Linked DNA regions of Mus musculus. The protein of the gene in region 1 binds, or shares a complex with, the protein of each later gene. Each region holds a gene or a part of one and is shown on either strand. Other genes may lie near its edges. The genes, in order: Csf1r and Csf1.

What was found.
Region 2: the proteins of Csf1r (region 1) and Csf1 are in contact, whole or in part, in a crystal structure (PDB 3EJJ), measured with the Mus musculus proteins. Residues at the interface, in NP_001032948.2 of Mus musculus: Arg142, Arg146, Leu149, Arg150, Lys151, Lys168, Val169, Leu170, Ser172, Asn173, Val231, Gly232, Phe233, Leu248, Ser250, Asp251, Phe252, Asp254, Asn255, Tyr257, Lys259; in NP_001107002.1 of Mus musculus: His38, His41, Met42, Gly44, Asn45, Gly46, His47, Phe87, Gln90, Asp91, Asp94, Arg98, Asp101, Glu110, Arg111, Gln113, Glu114, Leu115, Asn117.

Annotation. Positions count from the first base shown.
Region 1 is NC_000084.6:61,104,314-61,108,594, reverse strand, and holds the start of Csf1r (macrophage colony-stimulating factor 1 receptor precursor), read right to left. Parts: upstream 3,024-4,281; 5' UTR 2,911-3,023; intron 2,815-2,910; 5' UTR 2,646-2,814; coding exon 2,597-2,645; intron 1-2,596. UniProt on the Homo sapiens protein: Tyrosine-protein kinase that acts as a cell-surface receptor for CSF1 and IL34 and plays an essential role in the regulation of survival, proliferation and differentiation of hematopoietic precursor cells, especially mononuclear phagocytes, such as macrophages and monocytes.
Region 2 is NC_000069.6:107,757,533-107,762,031, reverse strand, and holds the start of Csf1 (macrophage colony-stimulating factor 1 isoform 1 precursor), read left to right. Parts: upstream 1-1,562; 5' UTR 1,563-1,968; coding exon 1,969-2,007; intron 2,008-4,499. UniProt on the Homo sapiens protein: Cytokine that plays an essential role in the regulation of survival, proliferation and differentiation of hematopoietic precursor cells, especially mononuclear phagocytes, such as macrophages and monocytes.

The DNA.
Region 1 (4,281 bases):
CCTGGCCATTGTCCTTCTCACACACTGAGGGACTCTTGGCAAGGAGTGCTGGGTTTCAGAGCACACTGGGCACAGTCTGTCTGTGCTGTGCCACTGTCCTGTTTGCTGACCCCGCAAGTCAACCCTTCCTACACAGTGACAGGGCAGCCCTAAGGGCATCAAGCCCTTAGAGGACTTCAGGGTTTCCTACAACCGCTCTCAGTGGGTCACACACACACACACACACACACACACACACACACACACACACACACGAGCCCAGAAATGGAAAGTCTCATCTCACAGATGATTTCAGCCTGGTTTAATGTCTGCTCACTCTGATTCAAACTCTTTGGAAACATGTGGCCTGTCTGCCCAAGCCTCCAACCAGCCAGATGTGGAACAGAGGAGAGCAGTGTGCTGCTGCTGATGTAGGGCTCTGGCTCTCCTGGGCAGTGATCAGCAGGAAGAGGGACGAGCTATTTCACCCTGGGCTCACATTGACTATGGCTAGGGACCCTGATAGCCATTGACCCTCTGAGCATCAGATATTCTTCTGTCCTGTGAGAACAATCCCAGCGGCCACCTAGAGGGCAGTGGAGTCCTCCTGACCCACCTGCTGTTCTCAGGCCGTACTGCTAATGTCCCTCTTGGGCCTGCTATGTGGTAGCTAAGGACCTTAACCCTAAAGGTCACAGGACACATCTTTGGGTTCCAGACACTTCTCCCTTCTCCCGGGCTACTCTGCTCTGCTTATCTTTGTCTCCTGTCTTGGCCTCCAGGAAATGTGCTCCGAGAGAAGCTTCCTTCTTATTTCTGCCTAGCCTGTTGCCCTGGATATTTACACAGAACAGGGCTGACGAATTCCACGTAAGCCGCATGATGGTCTCACTTCCCGCTGGCAGGGTTGGCGGGAGGGAAGCACGCTGATCACTACCTTCCCTTGGATGAGCACTTGATGGCCACTGATGCCCTGATCCTGGCCATTCTTCATCTCGCATCTCCCTTCTGGAATTCTCCCCATGACCCAAACTTTCTCCTCTTTGTACTTGCAAAATGGACTCTTCCACCATCAGCTCCAGGAGGCTCCCCAACCTCTTGCACTCATGACTACCACTCAAAGAGAAGAGGCCAGTCTCTCTCTCTCTCTCTCTCTCTCTCTCTCTCTCTCTCTCTCTCTCTCTCTCTCTCTTTCTCTCTCTCTCTTTCTCTCTCTCTGCCACTAAATGCTTCAACACTATTCCAGCTCCTACAGAAGCCCCCATGGTCCCACCCACACACCAATAATTTTCCAGGTTAAAACCCCAGGCTTTCCACTGATATCTCCCAACTTCTCTTCCTTTTGGAGCTGGATACAGACAGACAGACACACACACACACACACACACACACGCAGGCATGCAGCCACTCACACACTCTGCCCCACAAGCAGCCCTCGAGATAAAGACTGAAAAGCAGTGAACCAAAAATCACAGGATTTTCTGGCATGAGAGGAATAATAATTGTCTCTTTCTTAGCTGAGTCAGGGCTGCATTGACACACACACATCTGTCACATGCCCTTTAACAGTATTCTTAAGAATGTGTGCTTTCTCATGCATACATACCAATCCCATTCTACTAGGAATGTGCCAGTGCACGAGCCAGTGAGATCGGCTGAGCCAGCAAAGAGCCTTCCACGGACTGTCATCTCACCAATTCCCCAGGGACCAGAATGAGCCTGTCCTTCCCCAGCATCTTCCCTCAAGGTCTTTCCAAATAAGCAGTGGTGTGGTATAGAACATGTGTGTGCTAGGCCAGCTGGAGCCTAGATGGGATCCTTGCGCTGCACTGGGCCATTTATGTTCGTTCTCACCCTCAGCCAGACCTCCTCCAAGAATGGGAGTTCCGAAGCAGCTTCTGCTGCCCGAGAAGTTGGGGGGAGAGACCTAGGAAGACAGTGTCTAGGGAGACCCTCTCTGGCCTTCCCCAGGCCCCTCTCTAGCATCCTTCCTTGCTTATTCATAGGATCTCTCACTCACGGGTGTTCTCCTCCGACCCCTGTCCAAACTTTTCACCCTTGAGTCCTGGGCCAAAAAGGCCTCTTCTTTCCTCTACCCTGACCCTTTTCACCCAAGCCTTCCAAGAATGGGCCAGGTCCTAATTAACCACAGCCTGCTGGGCTGTCCAGCTGGTGGGACCACTCAAAGAAGAACAGCAAAAGCTATTGAGCAGCCCTGACGCATAAGATTTCCTCAGAAATGCGAATCTCAGTCCTGACCAAGACCTATGGGAATCTGCCTTAAAGGAGACTCCCAGGTAACACCCCAAAGCGCTGCACTCAAGGTTAGCCCACTACCGCCCTCCCTCCCACCTGCAGACGAGTAGATGTGGATGGTGGTCCTGAAAATACCAGGGTCACACTCAGAGCACACCGTGAGTCAAAGCCTAGGCTCAGACACATCCACAGCACTGGCCCCGGGTGGTTCCACCCACTCTCACCTACTCTTCTCGACAGATAAACACAAATCTGCACTCTTATGCCAGAGAAGTGAAGCAGAGAATGAGGCATCTACTGCAGGACAGCGATGCCCTCTTTGCAACACTCCCCCAGCAGGACTCCCCTTTTCTCCCCTTACCATGCCAAACTGTGGCCAGCAGCAGGACCAGAGGAGGCCCCAACTCCATAGCCTCCAGGGGATAGCGTGAGCCGATGCAGGTTGGAGAGTCGGCTGGGCACGGGGCTCCCAGCTGCTAGTTCTGTGAGGACGGGAACAGATGAACACGTTCCTGTCTGTTGCACTGGCTCCTCTTCCCCTTTTTTTTTTTTTTTTTTTTTAGGTTGCCTGAAAGGGAACTACAGAATTTGGAAATATTGGGTCTCTAGAAGAAAACAAAGCACACACACATACACACACACACACACACACACACACACACACACACCACACACCAGAGGAAGAGGCAGAATCTGGGGCCAGGCTCAACTGATCCTGAAGGGAGATGATGGAGTTTGAGAGACTTAGGAAACCACCTCTAAGGACACTTAGGAGAGGAGTCATACCCAAGAGCAGCAGCCTCTGAGTCAGGAGCATAAATAAGAGTCTCCCAGATGAGCAGTGAGCCTGGCTGAGAGAGGTCAGGTTATCCTACATTCTTCATACCTTTCTCATCTGCCCTTAAGGCAGAAGGCCTCAAGGTAACTGGAGATTTGGACTTTGACAGTAATGAGCCTCCTATAGCAGCAACTGGAAGTCTCCACTAATTGTCCTAAACCAAACTTATTCTAGGTTCCAAAAATAACAAGTCCTGTAGACAAATCACTCCATGATGACATTATCCCCCTAGGTGAGAGCGGTCACCCCATGAGAAGAAATGAAGTTACCCCTAAATATGAGCCATGGGGACCAAACTGTTTCCTCAAGCCATGAAAGCCAGGAATAACTCCTCTGGGACCAACTGGTAAAATCCAACAGCACCCACTGTGAGCAGGACTCTTGCCCCGCTGAACCAGGTCTTCTTATAGTTAAACCTGAACTCTTCCCCAGAGACAGGGCCTTGGACGCTTCAAGTCTGTTCCTGCCTCTAGCAATCACTTTTCATAGTTGATTTCTAGGGCAAGTGGTCAGACCCTGACTTGCTGAGATTCGTCCTGGTTGTCTAGGATTCTGGTAATGATACTATGTAGCATGTGTTTGCTGAGACACAACCCCCAGAATCTTTGTACTCTTCAAAGCTGTCCCTTTTATGAACCATCGAGTTGAGTTGACTGGCAGCTGACAGCTGTTAGGAGGCTTCAGGATAGAGTGGAGTTACCTGAAAGACTAAGGAAGACTAGAAGTTTCTGGTTAAAGTAGACATTCCTAGAGGAGGGTATGTCCCCTTGTCCCCAGATCTTCATTTGGGGATCTCTAGCCCTTTGTCATGTCCTGTGTAACAAATCAGTAGGAGGCTGGAAAGATGACTCAGTGGTTAAGAGTACATATTGGTCTTGCAGAGGACCTAGGTTCGAATCCCATCACCCACATGGTGGCCATCCATAACCCTAGGGCATCCAACAGGCATGCGCGTGGTGCACATACGTGTAATGCGTTTAAAAGGTTCACACGTAAAGTGAGCTACTCTAGTGAATTAATGAGACCCATGGAGGATTCTGGTCCCCTAATCAGTAAGTGGAGTGAAATGGAGGCTGGGTTCCTAACTTAGACATGAGCTCTCTCCACGTAGATGGTGTCAGCATCAGACAGAATTAGAAGACACTCAGCCGGCGTGCACTGCAGAATGCATAGTCCGTTTGCTGTGACGCATAATCCACTCCCACCAC
Region 2 (4,499 bases), on another chromosome or scaffold:
GATTCTAAACGTAATCACTACTATCACTAGTATTCAGTGGTTCTAAACGTAATCACTACTCTCACTAGTATTCAGTGGTTCTAAACGTAATCACTACTATCACTAGTATTCAGTGGTTCTAAACGTAATCACTACTATCACTAGTATTCAGTGATTCTAAACGTAATCACTACTATCACTAGTATTCAGTGATTCTAAACGTAATAACTACTATCACTAGTATTCAGTGGTTCTAAACGTAATCACTACTATCACTAGTATTCAGTGATTCTAAACGTAATCACTACTATCACTAGTATTCAGTGGTTCTAAACCTTCTCAATGCTGAGACCTTTCAATACAGTTCCTCATGTTGTGGTGGCGCCCCAACCACAAAATTATTCCATTGCTACTTCACAAGTGTAATTTTGCTACTGTTATGAATCATAATGTAAAGCATATGATATGCAGGATATCTGACTTGTGACCCCCCAAAGAGGTTGCCACCCACAAGTTGAGAACCACCAGTTTAAAATAATGTAGAGAATGAATGAATGAATGAATGAATGCCAACTTAACTGGGAGGAATGGGTTGCGTCCAGTGGGAACACAGAAAGAAGGAATTATCCATCAGCCTGAAGCATCCCAGAAGGCTTTGCAAGACAAGGATAAGATGTGATTATAACCTTAAAAGGTGAGACATTCACCTTAAGATGGATGGGGGAAAGGAAGACTTCATGTCCGAGGAAGCAGCCTGAGCAAAGGTTTATGAGGGACGTTGTTGCTCTGAGCTAGGTAGTGCAAGGAAATGGAGGACACGTGACAAAAGTGCCCCTTTGAGACCAGACCACTCATCTGGGCATGACGGGATTGAAACACATTGAATCAGGATAAATGGAAGGAAGAAAAAGATCCTGACGTTGGCAATATAATTAATAGGCTCCTCTTGATAGGTTAATCTAGATCCATTCTCATGTAAAGACAAAATGTGATTGCACAAATGCATTTCCAACAGAGTTGAGGGAAATCTAGAGTCCAGGCACACCAACCTTTCCACATAAGCTGGGTTTGGCAGCCCAGGAGCAGGGGGCCAGCCAGTGCTTTCAGGTTAAGCACCTGAAGTGTCTCCTGGCAGAGTGCAGAAACACCCAGCTAGTTGTCACAGGACCAAGTCCTTCCTCTCCTACCCAGGTAGCTGGATGCTCCCCACTTCTCCCTACAGCCAGGGGAGAGGATAGTATAGTAGTATAGTAGATTCTTTGAACAATGCATAGGAGGGAGCAAGCCAATCTGCAAACCTGCTGCCCTGGGTTCCATGAGGGACTTGAATGGAGCTGCAGCAGAGAGGCGTTGGTCCATCCCCATTCAAGTCCTGTTCAATGTACTCTGTCCGTTTCCTGCTCAGATTTGAGGATTTTCGGGCCTTGAGGGAAAGTCCCTAGGGGCCAGCATTAGACCGAGAACAATCACACGAGATTGACAAGAGTGGCGAGCACAGAAGGAAAGGCAGTGTCTTGTCCAGAGCTCGAGAAGGGCGGGGGAGGGCGGTGGAGCCCGGGTTACTTTGAGGAGGCTGCACAGCCACAGAGCGACGGGGAAGAGAGCTAGCGGGGACGACCAGGCGGCCCGCTTGGGGGAAGGGAGTCGGCGGCTCAGTGGGCCTCTGGGGTGTAGTATGTGTCAGTGCCTGTGAGTGTGTTTGTGTGTGTGTATGTCTGTGTGTGTCTGGCGGAGAGCCAGGGTGATTTCCCATAAACCACATGCCCCGCCAGCCCGCCCGCTTAAAAGGCTGTGCCGAGGGCTGGCCAGCGAAGCTCGGCCAGGGGAAAGTGAAAGTTTGCCTCGGTGCTCTCGGTGTCGCTGCGGCTCTCTGCATCCCAGGACAGCGGCGTGGCCCTCGACCGGGGCGCGGGCTCTTCAGCCACTAGCGAGCAAGGGAGCGAGCGAACCAGGGCGGCCAACACGCCGTGCCGGGACCCAGCTGCCCGTATGACCGCGCGGGGCGCCGCGGGGCGCTGCCCTTCTTCGGTAAGCTGCAACCGTGGCGCGCGGGGCCCGGGCCGGGCTGGGGCAGGAGCTCTGCAGCAAGCAGCAGGCGGCTCTGCGGGGCCACTTGGAGCGGACAGCCCCTTCTCGCCAGCTGCCCAGGCTTCTCGGCCCTGGGTTCTGGCTTCCTTACTGCTTCTAAGCTACGGCTGAGGCCCGCGGTATTTCAATAGCTGCTCCTGGGGCTGCAGCGCTTTGCGAGGTAAAGAGAAGGCTGCTCATCCCATTGCACGGAGGAGAACACTGAGCTACCCACAGGCTGGAGAGAGAGATGGGGGTCTGGGGGGGGGGGGTATCGCAGGGATTGGCACAGGCCCAATGTCTGCCAGAATGGTCAACCAGGTCTCCAGGTTCCGAGTGACACAAGATCCGAGTGTGGCATCATCCCCAGTAGATATCTTTCTTTGGTTGTTGCACATGTTTTAGGCCCCAGTTGGGAGTGGGCCTTCAGGGTAGGGAAAATTCAGGCTCACTCAGCTTTACACCAGGACCTGTGCTGAGCAACCTGTTGGCAGAGAGAGAGAGAGAGAGAGAGAGAGAGAGAGAGAGATGGGCATGCTGCTACTTGTTCAATGGATGTGTAGGAACTATTAGGGACTTGGGTGGCTCTTTGAGGGGAGCTGGACCCGAATCTTTTCTTGAAGAAAATGAGATGGGGCTATTCTAGACTCTGCGGCTGACTGAGGAAAGAAAGTGCAAGGAGAGTTCAGAGCTGCAGCTGATAATGGGCTGCTCAGAAGCTGTCTCCAGTAATGGCAGCAGATGATAGCATGGCTCTTACAGAGTGAAGGATGGTACTTTCAATCCACAGCAAGTGGGTTTGCTTCAGAAGAGAATGAGAGGGAAAACCTGGAGGGTAGGAACCGAACTTGTGATGGGCAGCGCGTTGCAGGTGTCTGGGAGGAGAGAAAAGTAGAACAGCAGAGAGAGGGGCTCAGTGAGAGGCAGAAGGTGGGGTTAGGAGGAGGGGAAGGGAGGAAGTTATCCCACATGCAACAAGCATAAAGAGAGAAGAGGGAAGAAAAGAAAGACTACAAGGAGACATAAGAGGAAAGAGAGGAGGCCGAGGTTCAGCCAGGCAGTCAGGCCGGGTCTCTGTCTGCAGACTGTACTGATTGGAAAATGGAACATGATGTCTTGAAGTGCTCAGAGACTGCCGCAGTTTCCAGGCTGCTCTCATAGTCAGAGGCTGAGGCAGTGGGTGGGAGGAAGAAGCAAGCCAGGAAGAGCCTGTCCAGCCAGATGCAGGCTAGAGTATTAACCCTTGGGTGTCCATCTGTATCCCTGTCTATGGCAGCATTGGGGTTACAGAGCCAGATCCAGGAGTGGCTGGTCATCTTTGAAGCCAGCAGCTGTGCATTATTTCTGTGCATGCTTGAAATGCCACCAAAAGCCAGGTAGCCCTGAAGTAATGTCTTTATCTTGCTATCTCCAAACATCAATGGCTTGAAATTCCTGGGTTGAGATATTTCTGAACATCTCCATTCCCGGGTCCTTTCCTTCATACCATACACACATGGACTGACAGGCTGAGTGATACCAGCCTGGGCCAGAGTCATCTTCTGCAGTCATTTCCTTTAACAGGTTCTGAGACTGGGGTTCAGGAGACCCGGGCTGCCACTCCCACTCAGGACTAACTTTCCAATTGCCCAACCATGCCCAATGCAGTTTATCAACCCATAGCTGGCTGCACCCTCTCCCCCACCTCTTTCTCCCTGTCTCTCTGTGTCTGTCACTCTGTGTCTCTGACTGTCTGTCTCTGACTGTCTGTCTCTGACTCTCTGTCTCTCTCTCTCTCTAAGGTCAGGCAAGGAACCTAACAGGTCCTGTGCGTAATGGCATTAGGCAACCCTGTGCCTTAACACCCATCAGCATCTTCCACCCTTTAAGGCCTCACTCTTCCCTCCGCATGGCCCAGCCAAAGCTGCCTTTCCTCCCTGGTACTCACTGGCAAGGCTTTGGGCTTTTAGATGTAACCCAGTGTTGTTATGGACTGTTTCATAGCCTCCCTGTGTTTTTCCAATGCGCTCCTATTTGCAACATTTGTCTCATCATCTGGACTATTGGGGCAGAGCCAGATCCAAGAAGGTGCCAGTCATCACTCCACCCTGCCAGCATTTCCCTGAATTGGGGGATATCAGCAGCCAGAATGCTCAGAATGGCAGCATCAGGCCAGGGAAAGAAAGCCCAAGAGTCCCTCTGCCCCAGGCTGGCATCTCCCGGGATACCCTATTGGAGCCCGAAGGGATGGAAGGATTTTAGAGTAGAGGAGGAGGAAGGAAGAAAGGAGAAAGGAAGGACCCAGTCAGGTGTCAGGAGCCAGACCTAGGACTCTAGGGATGAGCAGCTGCAGGGCCAGGTGGGTGCTGACGGAAAGGAGAGAACTTTCTTGCTGTGGCAAGAGTTTGCTGACTAGATGAAGGGCCTGATGGGTCTCAGATAAACAGATGCCAGCAGGGAAACACAGCATTGTC